Macaca mulatta: one gene and its partners. The protein of the gene in region 3 interacts with the protein of the main gene of each other region in a pairwise test. Links are inferred from orthologs where the notes say so. Each region holds a gene or a part of one and is shown on either strand. Other genes may lie near its edges.

Evidence for each region.
Region 1: the proteins of LRP2 (region 3) and MAPK8IP2 interact in a two-hybrid assay, tested with the Homo sapiens proteins (2 studies listed by BioGRID). The link is inferred for Macaca mulatta from reciprocal best matches to the Homo sapiens genes LRP2 and MAPK8IP2.
Region 2: the proteins of LRP2 (region 3) and MAPK8IP1 interact in a two-hybrid assay, tested with the Homo sapiens proteins (2 studies listed by BioGRID). The link is inferred for Macaca mulatta from reciprocal best matches to the Homo sapiens genes LRP2 and MAPK8IP1.

The regions. Positions count from the first base shown.
Region 1 is NC_133415.1:843,195-847,313, forward strand, and holds part of MAPK8IP2 (C-Jun-amino-terminal kinase-interacting protein 2), read right to left. Parts: coding exon 3,975-4,119; intron 3,842-3,974; coding exon 3,748-3,841; intron 3,626-3,747; coding exon 2,399-3,625; intron 2,085-2,398; coding exon 2,009-2,084; intron 1,891-2,008; coding exon 1,718-1,890; intron 1,628-1,717; coding exon 1,518-1,627; intron 762-1,517; coding exon 654-761; intron 499-653; coding exon 428-498; intron 1-427. UniProt on the Homo sapiens protein: The JNK-interacting protein (JIP) group of scaffold proteins selectively mediates JNK signaling by aggregating specific components of the MAPK cascade to form a functional JNK signaling module.
Region 2 is NC_133419.1:19,710,980-19,715,888, forward strand, and holds the end of MAPK8IP1 (C-Jun-amino-terminal kinase-interacting protein 1), read right to left. Parts: intron 4,723-4,909; coding exon 3,910-4,722; intron 3,729-3,909; coding exon 3,653-3,728; intron 3,106-3,652; coding exon 2,891-3,105; exon of another isoform or gene 2,869-2,890; intron 2,747-2,868; exon of another isoform or gene 2,688-2,746; coding exon 2,530-2,687; intron 2,371-2,529; coding exon 2,254-2,370; intron 2,118-2,253; coding exon 2,047-2,117; exon of another isoform or gene 1,938-2,046; coding exon 1,839-1,937; exon of another isoform or gene 1,441-1,838; coding exon 1,368-1,440; 3' UTR 632-1,367; downstream 1-631. Other genes in the region: FREY1 (protein Frey 1), read left to right, coding at 1-231, 403-524. UniProt on the Homo sapiens protein: The JNK-interacting protein (JIP) group of scaffold proteins selectively mediates JNK signaling by aggregating specific components of the MAPK cascade to form a functional JNK signaling module. Required for JNK activation in response to excitotoxic stress.
Region 3 is NC_133417.1:74,276,532-74,281,276, forward strand, and holds the start of LRP2 (low-density lipoprotein receptor-related protein 2), read right to left. Parts: upstream 3,273-4,745; 5' UTR 2,739-3,272; coding exon 2,660-2,738; intron 1-2,659. UniProt on the Homo sapiens protein: Multiligand endocytic receptor. Acts together with CUBN to mediate endocytosis of high-density lipoproteins. Mediates receptor-mediated uptake of polybasic drugs such as aprotinin, aminoglycosides and polymyxin B.

The DNA of each region.
Region 1 (4,119 bases), on a different chromosome or scaffold from region 3:
TTCCAGGCTGGCCATCCTGAGCCCCAGGAGGACTTGCCCACCTCTGGGGGTCTGCTCCCCAGGGCCCACTCAGGCATCCTCCACACCCACACAGGCTTCTCACATCCTTCGCCCGTGTGCCTCTCTCCACCCAGACCAGATGCAAGCCTGTCTGACCTGCGCCTCCTGAGTCCAGCTCAGAGCGGGCGTCACTGCACACTCAGCTCAGAGAGCCAAGTGGGTGCAGGTGGAGCTCTCAGGGTTGGGCACGAGCGGCCCTCAGGGTCTGTGGGGACTTGGGGGATGGTTAGGCAGCCCTCGGGGTTTGTGGGGACTCCGGGGGTGGTTGGACTCTCAGCGTTTGTGGGGTGGTTGGGGAACTCGGGGGCAGTTGGGGGACTCGGGGAGTTGCGGGTTTGTGGGGACTCGGGGATGGTTGGAATCTTACCAGCTGTTTCGGGGGTGGCAGCCGCAGAAGGAGATGTTCTTCATCTGGAAGAAATGGCTGCAGCGCTGGAACTACAGCAGAGGTGGGCAGAAGCCCCCGTGTTAGAGGAAGCCTGGGGCCACCCCTGCCTCCCGCCTGCCTGACACCCCTGCCAGCCTGGCCCCGTCTGACTCCGTGGCTTAACCCTACCCCCCCGTCCCCTGTCCCCAGTCCCCCAAGCCCCCACCTCGGGCCCTCCTCCGCTCAGACTCAGCTTGACCCCCCGAAGAGAGATCTCGAGGTCACAGGAGGCAGGAGGGCGCAGGTGGACAGTCAGTTTCCGGGCAGTGGCAATCTAAGAAGTTGGGGGAGAAGAGGGTCCTGAGGGGCCCACAAGGGCATCTTTCTTTCCCCTTGGTGGGACTACATACGCCTCTGCTCCTTTTAGCTTATGTTTGAGGACATGCATGCTGAGGACTCCTGAGATGCAATTCTGGAAGACATAAGGGAGTGGCCTTGGCCACTTCTCAGGCTCAGGGGAAGCAGTCAGCGTGCTTCATCTTCCTTCTGCTCCTCCAGGCAGGGTGCTGCTCTGGGCTCAGGAGCCAGGAACACAGACCCCACCCACCCTGGCCTCTTCACTGCCTGGCCCTACAAGCTCCAGGGAGCTCTCAGAGGCAGGGCTGCTCTGCCCTGCTCCCTACCACCCCCCAGCCTCAGTCTCAGTACTGGTGCATGGGCAGGCGCGCACTAAACGTCCACTGAGTGAGTGGATGAGTAGAGGGCTCCCAGGGAAGGGGCTGTGAGGGCTGGTCTTGATTCCAGACAGGAAGAGGAAGGGCTGATGGCACTCGGGGCCAACTGGAAGATCTGTGGCCCAGAGACCCAGAAGTAATGAGGGACAGCTGCTGAGCTCTGCCCTAGACTCACCTGCTCAGGCCTCTGAACCAGGGCCTGGGGTACCCATCCAGAGCTACCCCTGCAGCATCCCCCACACCCTCCCTGGAGGAAATCAGACGCCTTGGAGCCTCAAGGCCCTGTGCCAGCCTGCAGTGCTGGTGGGGCCACCATGCGAACCCTCAGCTTGCACTTGCCCGGCCTCCACACTGACCTTCTGCATGGCTGCACATAGGATGCCATTGCCCTGGTGGCAGGGCACCTCCACAGAGCCCAGGAACTGCACATCAAAGCGCTCCACCCAGCAGGGACTCCGCTTGCTCCCTGGGGAGGGGGGCACAGAGGGCCCAGGTCAGGCAGGGGCCTAGGGGAGGATCTGGGGTGACACGCCACCCCTCGGGGTTGGGACCTCACCCAGCAGGTCCTTGGCAGGGCCGGGAACCGCATGGGCGTAGAAGGCAGGGAACACACCGCGCTCCCCCGTACGCATGTTGAAGCCACGGAACCAGAAGTCATCCTCCTCGGCCTCCACCAACACGGGGTCATCCACGTCCAGCTCCAGTTCGTCTGGATGCCGCGGGATGAACCTGCCGTTGGGGGAGAGGTCACTGGGGAGGGGGGCGGGATTGAGGGTCGTGTCCATTGGCGTCCTGGGATGGCACGGACTGAGGCTGGGGCCACCGCCAGCAAGGAGGGAGGCTGTACCTGAACACAGCCCTGTGGGTCTGCTCTCGCTCCTCACCGTTGACCAGACAGGAGAAAAGGCCAAAGGACTCGGTGCCTGGGAGACCAGATGGGACAGAGGTGGGGAAGACAGGGAGACAGAGAGGCAGAGTAGGGGAAAGAATGTTTAGAGGCCTGGCCTCGGGCAGAGGTGGAGTCCCCTCTGCAGGCCGGTGTGGGTGTCCTGGGAGCAGGAAGGGGCTGAGGCAGAGCAGGCCACCTCATGCCATGTCCTGGATGGGAGAGGGCGCCCAGCCCTGACCATGGCCAGACCCTCAGGTGGCCCCGGGCACTGTGGGGGAGCCTGGGACTGGGGCCAGGGACTCCGCATGTTCCTCTGGGTCACCCCCCTTTTCCCTGCCTGTCACTCACTGGAGGACCGGGATGTGCTGTTGACGAAGACATTGAGGAACTTCTTGGAGAAAGTGAGGTCAGGGCTGTCCGGCGAGGTGTCCCCCGGGACCTGACCACCGCCTAGCAGCGCTGCGCCCACCTCCTCCTCGCTGGCCTCCCCGCTGCTGTCCTCTTCGCTGTCGTGGCCCAGCCCGGCGCAGCGCCGCAGGCTCACCAGCTCCAGCTGCGTATGCTCGTCCACCACCAGCGTGTACTTGACCGCGTCATACACCAGCGAGGCGTCCCGCGGCGCCGAGGGGTCCGTGCCCCTGCCCCCGGGGGGCCCCGCACTGTCCTCGGCATCCTCCTCTTCCTCGTCGTCCTCTTCGTCCTCCTCCTCAGAGCAGGCGGCGGAGCAGGCTCGGCCCGGGCGGGCAGCGCGGCCGGGCGCGGCCCACAGCGGCGTGATGGTGTCACGCGTGGGGTTGCTGAGGAACAGGCAGGGCCCGGGCTGCGCGGGGCCGGGTCGAGGCGCGGCGGGCGCAGGCGGCGGCGGCGCGCACAGCGTCTCCATGTCCACCAGCTCCACGTCGCCGGGCCCCGCGGCCGCCTCGGGGTCCTGGGAGTCCTGGGCAGCCCCGCCGGCCGGCGACACGGGCTCCCCGGGCGGGCGCGGCGCCGGAGACAGGCACTGGCCGGGGCAGCGGATGGGCGAGGAGCCCTCGGAGATCATGCGGCTCACCAGGTTGCTGAGCAGCCAGGGCGAGTCCGCGTCCTCGCTGAGGTCCGGCTCCGACTCCGACCCCGACTCGTACTCGCTGTTGGTGTCGTCGGGACCCACGGGCAGGAAGGCGGGGCGGCGCGGGGGTTCGCGCGGGGGCTCCGGCTCCGAGGCGGGCGACGAGGCCTCCTCGATGGAGTTGGTGAGGTGCGAGGAGCGGCCGCTGCTGCTGCTTCCGCCGTCGCTGCTCAGCTCCAGCTCCGTCTCCGAGATGGACGAGATCATGCGCCCTAGGCGCGCGCCGCCCGCGTCCTCTGAGTCGGAGCCGGGCGAGGACAGCTCCTGGCTGCTGCGACGTCCCCCGTGGCCCCCGCTCGAGCGGCTTCTCAGGTCAGCCTCGATGCCGGGATCTGAGGAGGGCGAAGTCCCCCCTGGCGCCGGGGGTTCCGCAGGCCGGTTCCCTTCGCAGTCGCAACCCGGGCGCACTGGCGACTGCGTCCCGCCGGGCCCTGTGTCCGTGGGAGGGAGGGGGCCCGGGGGCTCTGCTGGGCAGGGAGGTGGGGGTCACCCTCTCTGCACCATCCAGGCCTCTTTCAGCAACCAGCCCATCCTCCCTCCCCTCCCCCCCCCCCACTTCACCGTGGCCCGCGGGCCCACCACCCCTCACCTCTGAGGGCCTCCGGGGCGGGTGAGCACAGCGCTGTCTCTTGCCAGGAGGCCGGAGGCACCAGGTCAAAGCCTCCGTTGTTGTTCAGGGAGTCCTGGGGTGGAGATACATGATGGCCGTCCTGAGGAGGGCCTCCAGCTCCCAGGGGGTGAGCAGGGCTGGCTGCAGAGTCCCAGGTGCTATGAACCCAGGCTCAGCTCCAAGGAGCTGTGGGTCGGGGCACTCACCTGGGCCCCCAGTGTGGTCAGACGGAGGGTGGTTGGCCGGTGCTTATGGGGCTCCTCCAGAGAAGGGGAGGGGATAAGGGGACCAGGGGCAGGTGCCTCTGAGCCAGGGTCTCCTCCCTCCTGGCCTTCCTCATCTCCCTCCTCC
Region 2 (4,909 bases), on a different chromosome or scaffold from region 3:
TGCTGCCCCTCCCCTCTCTGGAGTGGGGCTGGCTGGCCCTGGTACCCTGGGTGTTGGAGGGCTTGCCAAGTGCCCCCACACTGGGCCATCCCCCCATTCACAAGGAGGTGGCGGTGGCTTTCTGGGCCAGGGCCGAGCACCCCAACCTCTCCCACAGGTCTCAGCAGTCTGTTCCTGAGGCATTTTCCGCACCCCTGGAACTCTCACAGCCACTCTCCGGCCTGGTGGATGGTAGTATCTCTCTCGTCCCCTTCCCCTTCCCCTTCCCCTGCCCCTCCCTGACAGTGGAGACTCCCCTAAGGGGTGCCCCAAGTCCAGCCTTCAGGGGCTTGTCATCCCAAACCACATATGTTCAAGGGTGCCAGCTGCCCCTCCCACCCATGCCCTCCTTTCTCTCTCTAGACTATGGCATCCTCCCCAAGCACCCGTGGCCGCGAGGGCCTCGACCCCGCCTGTCCCGGGCCCAGCAGCGCAAGCGGGATGGGCCCGACCTTGCTGAGTATTACTACGACGCACACCTATGACCCAAGGCCCCCATAAAGATACTACACATGACAAAGGCTTGGCTTTCCTGGGCTGGGAGTGAGATGGGGACAGGAGGAGTCCATACAGATACATCCACTGCAGTCCAGACAGGAAATGGCACTTTAATAGTTGGGGCCAGGGTGACAGGACCAAGATGGGGCTGGCCTGTGTCAGTCAGGAAGCCTCCCTCCTGCTGGGACAGGGCCTTGCGGCAGCTCCTCCTCCCCACTGAGGTCCTAGGCCTGCCACAGGCCAGCATGCCGGTGAGGTCAGTGGCAGGAGCCACCCAAAGTCCCGCAAATGACGGAGCTGAGAACGGGGTCTTCACCTCCACGTGTTGCCATTTCCTCACTGGAAAGTCCTTGGGAGGTGGCTGGGCTCAGCCTGAGCTCACGGCTTTTCGGTGGGGGTTGGGGCAGGGGCAGGGTGGGCACTTGCAGGTGGCACAGGCTTCATCAAGGCAGGACACGGGCTTCATCAAGGCAGGAGCCAGAGCGCCCGAGCCCTGGCAGGGGAGGTAAGGCCCAGGATGGGGCAGGGCCATGTGCTCCTGGAATGGACATCCTTCTCTGCCAGAGGCCTGCCCCCCAAGCCCTGCCCCTCCCAATCCCCAGGCAGCCCACTCTGCCCTCCATAGATGAATCTAATCCCATATATTACAATAAACCGCATTTGCTTCTCCCCATTGCCCCACCCTCCCCTACCCTGGGCCAGCAGCCCCCACTTCCTCATCCCCTGGTGGTAGCAGGTGCCCCTCCTCAAGCAGTGCCACATCCTGTCAGCAGCCAGCTGTCCTGGCACTGGCCTGAGGGCCGGGGGATGCAGAGGGCGGGGCTGCACGGCTACTCCAGGTAGATATCTTCTGTGGGGCAGGTGTACTCCACAAACTGCTTGTAGAACTGCTGGAATGCTCTCCTAGAAGCCAGGGGACACACAGATGGCTCAGACCGCCACTGGCAAGGGAGGAATGGGATCACGACCCAGGGTTTTCCCACCGGAGCCTTGGGGCCTGAATGCAGCTCTGGTTCCTCTGGCCGGGGCCACTTGGCTCTGTTCTCTACAGAATTGCCATTGCATTTCCCAGTAAGATGTCAGCTGAAGACGTGGCTCAGCAGCTACCAAGCCTGGAAGCCACTCCTCAGGCTCGCCCTGCCCTGCCACCCTCCCTCCAGGCCACTGCACTGGGGTCTGGAGATGGTTCTCCAGAGCTGCGGGGGAAACCAAGGGGCAAAGCTGAGCACCAGGAAGCAGCCCTAGGGCCTGGGATGAGGTGTGCTCCCTCGGGCTGGGTGCTCAGCAGGATGCACACGTACCCCACGGACTCTGCCAGGGCTTTGGTGGAGTCTTCAGACACAAAGACATGGCAGGCAAACCGGTGGTCGGCGGGGTGCTTGGTGATGAACCCAAAGTACCTGCAGGGACAGGTCTGTCTGTGCTGGGACAGGGGCTCGGCCCACACCCAACCACCTGAAGGCTGCAGACCAGCCGTGCCTCCTCCACTGCCATCCCACCCCCACTTACTTGTTGTTCTTTGGATGATATCCACAGAAAGAGATGTTTTTTAACTGGAAAAAGTGGCTACATTTATTCCCCTACAGGAGGGAGAAAAGAAGCAAGAGGGCGGTCACCTGGCCTGCAATGAGGGTGAGAGGAGACGGCCTCTTCACTCCAAGTCTTGGGGGAAAGCTGGGGGCCATGGAAGGAAGGGGCTGGGTTGGGAGGAGTCACCTTGGCCTCCTGGGAGTCATCGGCCTTGACGCCTATCTTCACGCCCCGCACGCTGATCTCCAGGACGCAGCTGGAGGGTGGGTTAAAGTGCACGGTGAGCCGGCGGGTGGTGGCAATCTATAGGTGACACACGGAGCCACGTCAGCTGCTGTCTGTTCCTCTGCTGATCCCTCCTGTCCCAGGGCCTGAGCCCTGAGGCCTTTACTGCCTCTAGACACCTGTATTCCTCTGCCCCAGGGAGCATCCAAGGGAGGAGAAGGGAGAGGGCTCAGGTACCTTTTGCATAGCGGCACAGAGGACGTCATTGCCCTTGTGATAGGGAACCTGGACTGAGCCCAGGAACTTCACCCGGAACTGGTCCACCCAGTCACTGTTTTTGGCCAGGGCTGGAAAGCAAGTGTGAATTGAGGAGGGGCAGAAACAGCAGGAGGGAGCTGAGCAGCCAAGCGAAGGAGGGCGGGTAAGGCACAGGGAATGGCAGAGCCCACACAGGCTGCCACAATCCCTGGCTGCCCAACTTGGCCGGGCCTCACTTTGCTCGATCGTGAAAAGGACCTAAAATCACCTCCACTCAGCCCCCCACCTGTCTGGCTAAGATCTGGAGTACACGTTCACCCAGCAGCAAGTCAGGGCAGACAGATGTGGTGGCTGGGGGCACAGGCCAGGCAGGGAACGCTACCTGCCATGTGCTCGGGCTCCTTGGTGACCTCGATGGCGTAATAGGCAGGAAAGACGCCCCGGGCACCGGTGCGCATGTTGTAGGCCTCGTACCAGTAGTCTTCAGCCTGGAGCTCCACTAGCAGAGGGTCATCCACTTCCAGCTCAAGTTCGTCTTCGTGTCGAGGCACAAACCTGTCCCCAGCAAGGACAGGTGAGAAATTCGGCACCAGGGCCTGTCCGGCCAGGCCTACTCTGCAGTCTGGGAGCCACAGCAGCATCGTCATTTCAGTAAACATTTGCAAAAGCATCCTGTGTGCCTGTGGCAGTGCTAACCCCAGGGGAGAGCAAGGTCAAGCAAACATGCGTCTGCCGTTGAGGAAACACAGGCCAAGGGAGGGTGCGGGCAGGGACCCTCTAAAATGGAGAGGCTGTGGGAAGCGCAGGCTTTTGTCTAGAGAAGGGTCAGGTGGGGTGTGGGCAGGCATCCTCTTGGTCACCCTCCTGGGTGCCCTGCCCCCGACCAGACTAGGTGCGCAGTCCTGGGATCCCTCACCGTAGCCATCCTCTTTGTCACCATACTCTGAGTCCCTAGAGAGTGGACACTGTCCTCCCAGGGCTGAGTGGATCAACGAATGCTGATGGCAGGGGTTAGGCTGAGGCCATGTAGGGGTGACAAATGGAGGGTGGTGTGTGGCCCAAACTGCTGCGTGGCCAGGCCCAGCCAGCCCATGGCTCTCACCTGAATATGGCCCGGTGGGTCTGCTCCTGCTCCTCCCCATTGATGATGCAGGAGAACAGCCCGAAGGACTCGGCACCTGCAGGTGAGGGGGTATGGCTGGATGGGAGGTCGCAGCTCTGATCCAGGTTTAGCGGGGCAGGTAGAAGCCTCAGTCCTAACCAGATGGGGCCTGGGGTCGCCTCCCAGAACACTTCGCATTTTGGCTCTGTCCCGCTAGGGAACCCCCACCCCCCAACTGCTTCCCCTTGCTGACTCACTGGAGGAGCGGGAGCGGCCACTCATGAAGACGTTCAGGAACTTCTTGGAGAAATGGACGTCGGGTTCGTCAGGCGTGGAATCCTCGGAGAGGCAGGCAGGGGGCTGGGGCCGGGGGGCCTCCTCATATTCCTCTCCGATGGCCGACTCATAGGGCGAGGAGACAGAGGCACAGTTGTCATAGACGGTGGCCGAGTCACTCTCGTCACTGTAGTCTCCGAAGCACGGCCGCAGGCTCACCAGCTCCAGCTGTGCGTGCTCATCCACCACCAGCGTGTACTTGACCGAGTCGTAGGACAGGGCGCTGGTGTCCGAGCTCAGAGACGCCCGTGGAGGTGGCGGCGGCTCCCCCAGGCTCCCCCGCCACCCTCCGCCTGGGGGCTCAGCCCGCTCTGGGGACGACAGGCAGTCGAAGCCCTCCTCCTCTTCACTGATGGAGGGGTGTGGCCGCCCTGCCGTGGAGGGGTAGGCAGCAGGGTCTGGATCGGAGCTGACCGACATCCGGCTCTCAGTGGGAGGCAGGAAGGCGGAGGTGGGCTCTGCAGGGTCTGGGGGCCTCTGCACTGGGGTCAGGTAGATCTCCTCAGTGGCCTCTAGTCGCACATCGGCCTGGTAGTGGATTCGGTCTCGATGCGAGTGGCCCCGACCCCCAGGCGGGGCAGCAGGGGGACCCCCCGGAGGTGCCATCTGGGTGGCTGTGCTGCGGCGGCAAGGGCTGTCGGTGGAGGTGCCCCGGTCTGTGGTGGGGGCGGGGCTGCTCTGGGGGGGCAGCTCATCGCTCAGGCAGATGTGTTCATGTGGCGGCGTCTGCTCCCCTGGAGAGCAGGCAGGTCATGAAGGCAGGGGCTCTCTCCCAACTCCCAGCTGCCTGCACCCGCCACTCTCAGCTTGGTGACACAGAAACCAAGACAAAGCCTCTCTGGGGCCAGTCAACTCCCTCACGCTACCACTGATCTCACCCCCTGGATGGGCTTGTGCAGGGATGTGGGTGGACAGTTTACC
Region 3 (4,745 bases):
TCAGGCTGAGGACATTCAGAGGAAATGCATCTTAAAATGATCAAGTAGGAGGACTGGGAATGAGAAAACTTGGGTTCAGTTCTTAGAAACCTGAGGAGAGATTCTGGAAAAAGATCCACAGTTATGAAGCAGCAGGTGGTAAGGAGTTGCATATTGCCCCTCAGTTTCTTTAGGAACCTCACACATGGACAGTAACTTAGGGAGCATGACATTTTTTGTACAAAAGAAAAAAGAAATTGGGCCAGGCGCGGTGACTCACGTCCGTAATCCTAGCACTCTGGGAGGCCGAGGCGGGCAGATCACTTGAGGTCAGGAGTTCAAGACCAGCCTGGCCAACATAGCAAAACCCTGTCTCTACTAAAAATACAAAATATTAGCCGGGCATACTCCCCAGGGCTTGTAGTCCCAGCTACTTGGGAGGCTGAGGTGTGAGGATCGCTTGAACCCGGGAGGCAGAGGTTGCAGTGAGCCGAGATTGCACACTGCACTCCAGCCTGGGTGACAAAGCGAGACTCGGTCTCTCAGAAAAAAAAAAAAAAAAAAAAGAGAGAGAGACAGAGAGAGAGAGAACATATACTGTGTACTGTAGCAATTACAGACTCTGAATTCAGAATCCCTTTAGTTCGCCATTTTCTAGCAGTATGAACTGAGACAAATTACTGAATTGCTCTGTGCCTCCACTTTCTCATCTGTAAAACAGTGATAATAAGAGTACTTACTTCCAAGGGATATTATGAAGATTAACTGAGTCAATAAGTATAAAGTGCTTAGAACAAAGCCTGCAACATATATGTGTATGATGGATTACTATTACTATACACATTATTATTATATATTATTATCATAGAATGGAAGATGGACGGGTGCAAAAAACTATCAAGAAGAGTAGGTGTTGGTTATTTAGTGACTAAACCATCAACCCAGGAAAAAGAATATCTTTTTTGGTTGTACAAGGGCATAGATGAATCAAGGTAAGATTTCCTTTTGCCAGGCACTGACAGGACCATATAGTAAATCCTATAACTATATTTAGGACATGAGATATAACCCTAAGCATTGTGCAAACTCTGCACAATAGTAATAAAACCCTCTTTCTGTGTTACCAACACTGAGAAAGGGTGTTCAAAGGAAGATTATTAATGATCTCTCCCTGCCTCTCCTGCCTTTCCGAAGACTTTTGCAAGACCCGTGGGGTTTGTTAGCGTTTCCAAACTTCTTCCCAGGAAGTCTGAAATGGGTGCTGCTAGGAGTTGCTGTATAATTACTTACTTGATTCCCTCTAAGGAGCTTACGCTAAGAATTGAGGAAAGAAAGCAGATTAACCATTTGAATACATGCCACGGCCCATCCACAAGCCCTCCCCTCACTCCTCCGTAAATGGGGGCTTCCACATTCCCCACCCGTCAACCCCAATATGTGATCCAGGAAAATCAATTTATTGCTTTGGCTAATCCTACAACAATAGGGGTTTCATTTTCATTGTAGGGCAATTAAGTTGTCCGACGGGAGGGAAGGAGCAGGAGGGGAAAGGGGGGACTCTCCCATCCCCACAGACAGATTAGTCCCCGCGGTGGCAGCAGCGTCCCCTCTGTCTGTCTGGTGGTCGGTCACACGCAGCTCCTGGCTGCTACCTAGCAACGCAAAGCCAGGGGGAGAGCTCGCCGGTTCCAGCCTCCTCCTCGCCCTTCCCATTCATCCTCGGTCGGGTCTCGGTCTCTCTCTCTCTCTCTCTCTCTCTCTCTCTCTCTCTCTCTCTTTCCTCTCTCTCTCTCTTCCCCCGCCCCAGTCGTTCTCTCTCCCCTCCTTCTTTCCTTATTCCTCTATATTTGCTTTTCCTCTTCCCTTCTTACTACTTTTATTCTCTCCGTTTCTTTCTCCCTCTCTTTCTCTCTTCTCTGTTTCTGTTAAAACATAAACTCTCGGACAACTTGAGAGAAGTTTAAAGCGCTTCATACCAAAAACTATCTGCATTCGATCCCCAAAACTCTGGCCATGCAGACGGGCCCCATTCATCAACACAAAAGCCCCCAGCTCCCAGCTGGAAAGGAAAACTTCAAGAAAAGACTCCAGTCCCTCAGCCGCTCTCAGCCAATCCCACCTCCCGGCCTTATCTTGGCTCGTAAATGATCTGTACGGTGAGAGCGGTCTCTGGGGGTCACCGCGGGACCAAGTTTCACCAGTGGTGGGAGGGGTGCTCTGGCCCGCGGCCCTGGGCGCGCGAAGGGATCCCGGGAGGGGCGCTGCAGGTGGAATGCTGCGCTCGGAGCAGAGCCCGGGACCGCGCCGCCCAGGAGAGAACTCCGCTTGGGAGAGCAAGCTGCAAACCGCAGAGAACCTCGTTCTCCTGTAAAGTGCTTTCCAGGAGGGTCGGACAAACGCCCGTGGGAACAAAGACAGGGTCTCCGTGGGGTGCGCTGTCACCGAAACTGGCGGGGCTGCTTTCTCAAGTTTGCTGCCGCTCAGTTCGTGGTGAGCGAAGGAGGGGCGCTCCCGCTCCGGGTTCGCGAAGCAACCTGAGCGCCCCACCGGGAGCAGCTCCCGCGCCGCCGCCAGGCCCTAGCCTCTGCCCGGCCGCGCTCCCCTCCGGCCTCCCGCGGACCCGACCCTGCCACAGCCGGGGAAGTGGGCGCTTCACGAGAAGCTCCGGCCGGGGGCTTACCTTGGCCACTGGCCGGCGCTAAGCAGGCGACGAGAGCCAGGAGCAGCGTGCACGCCACTGCTGCCGGCCCGCGATCCATCCCCGCGACGGTCCCCGGCCTCGCCGTTCCTTCCCCGGGAGGTGGGTGCGCGTAGCACACCACACCGGCAGCGCCTCTGCTAGCGAACGCTCCTTTAGGTCTGCACCTCCGCCAGCTCCTAGTGACCAAAAGCCTGCACCCGCGCCCGAGGCATCCCGTTTTCTACCCGCGCCAGTCCCCACCCTCCAGACAGTGCATAAAGCCCTTTAGACCCGACCGCCCCGGAACAAGCATGCGGGAATCCAGCGGGCAGGCCCCCTGCCGCCCGGCCCGCCCCCTGCACTTTGCAGCGCGGGGAGGAGTGGGCACTCGAACACACGCGCACTCACACATGGACACCCCACAGGCGTGTGCACACTCACACACGCACTCATACAGCCGCATGCACTCCTAAGTGTCACACCAACTGACACAGATTCACAGATTCACTCATACACGCCAGTCACACACGCGCGCACATTCCACAGTCACACTTCCACGCCAACATACATAGTCCCCTTTAAGCGTGCATACACGAGCACACTCCGATGCGCACACTCTCACAGGCACACTCACACGTGCACACGCGCTGCCCTCGCCTCTCCGCAGGGTTCGCCGGGCAGAGAAGCCGGCGAGGCGACTCATGGGGAAATCTGCACGGACGCAGTTTTACTAAATGAGCAATGGAAAAGAATGGACAAGGAGGAAAGTCAAGAATAGAGAAGAGAAAGAAAAAATAAGAAATGAAAAAGGAAAGAAAAACCAGACAAGTGGAAATGAAGGACAGAAAGAAAGGGAAAGAGGCGGAGGTAGGGAAGAGAAGGAGTAAAGAGCCTGCTGGATGGAGATCTGTGACCTTCATTCCTGGCCTGATCTCTCTAGGCTCCTTCGGATATCCTGGTTTCCCCTGATAGGATACAGGCTGCTGAGATGGGGTGCTCTGTGTTTTTACAAATTAGAGAGGGAGGTGGATCTTTGTTGGGGAGGTTGGATCCTTATTTAGCAATTATTCAGCACCACATCTACAGGTGTCATGGCCAGATCGCGCTTCTTACAAGTCTGTTCATTTTGAAGCAAAATTGAAAAAGAGCGAACGTCTTCTCCATGCTTCCGGTACCCCTTTATAAGAAGAAACACGAGAGGTTCAGGGAACCCCGCGACTCCCTTCTTTGGGGCAGCTTTGGACAGGCTGGCAAGCGGCCCAGACCCCAAAAGCACAAGTGGCCTTACACCCGCCCTCAGCGCGCGGTCCTCAGCCTGTACGTGACATCAGAGCCCACGGGAGGTGGGGAAAGGAGGGCTGATGCGACTTATTTCCCGGTGTTGGGGACCCTGTGTGAGGAGGGGCTGTTTGGGGACCTGAGGCCATCCCATCATTTCCAGCTCCAGCCCCTGAACCAGCGCGGCGGCTAGTCCCAGGCGCCGGATCCTGGTCCAAGAAGTCAGGAGCCCTTTCCCTCCAGAGAGGGAGCCGTGACGCAGGGAGGAGACAGCCCTGAACGCACGTGGTCGCTGGACAGGTTCCCGCTGCCTCCCTTCCCCGGGGGCGAGAACCTGACAATTACTGCCAGCGCCTTTTCCCGGGGCACCGGTCTTCTGGGGTTCTGCTGACCCCAACAGTCCGGATCGCGTAGCTTCCCTGGGCTGCAGTGGTAGGCGCAGCTTTAGGTGTGGGGGCTAGGGGAGGGAAAGGATAGGTGTTACTTTGGAAAGACAAAAAGAGATAAATACACACAAAAAGAGAAAACTTAGGCTTCAAGAAAAAAAGGTGGAGTGGGGAGCGTTGTGGGAAAGAGTGGGAGAGATTCCTGGATTGGGAAATCCATGGGTCTGTGCTCTGGCCAAAGTCACTGGATCTCTATTTGCCTCCCTGCACAGTGTTGGGCGCTGTGCGGCGCGGAGGAGACAGGACTGGGGACAAGATGGTTGGGGGCTGGGGAGGGAGGGGGCGACCCGACCCGAGCGGGAGGAGGGAGGCGGCGAGGGGGCGCGACGCTGCACTCCAGTCTTCGCGGGTGATTTATGCCG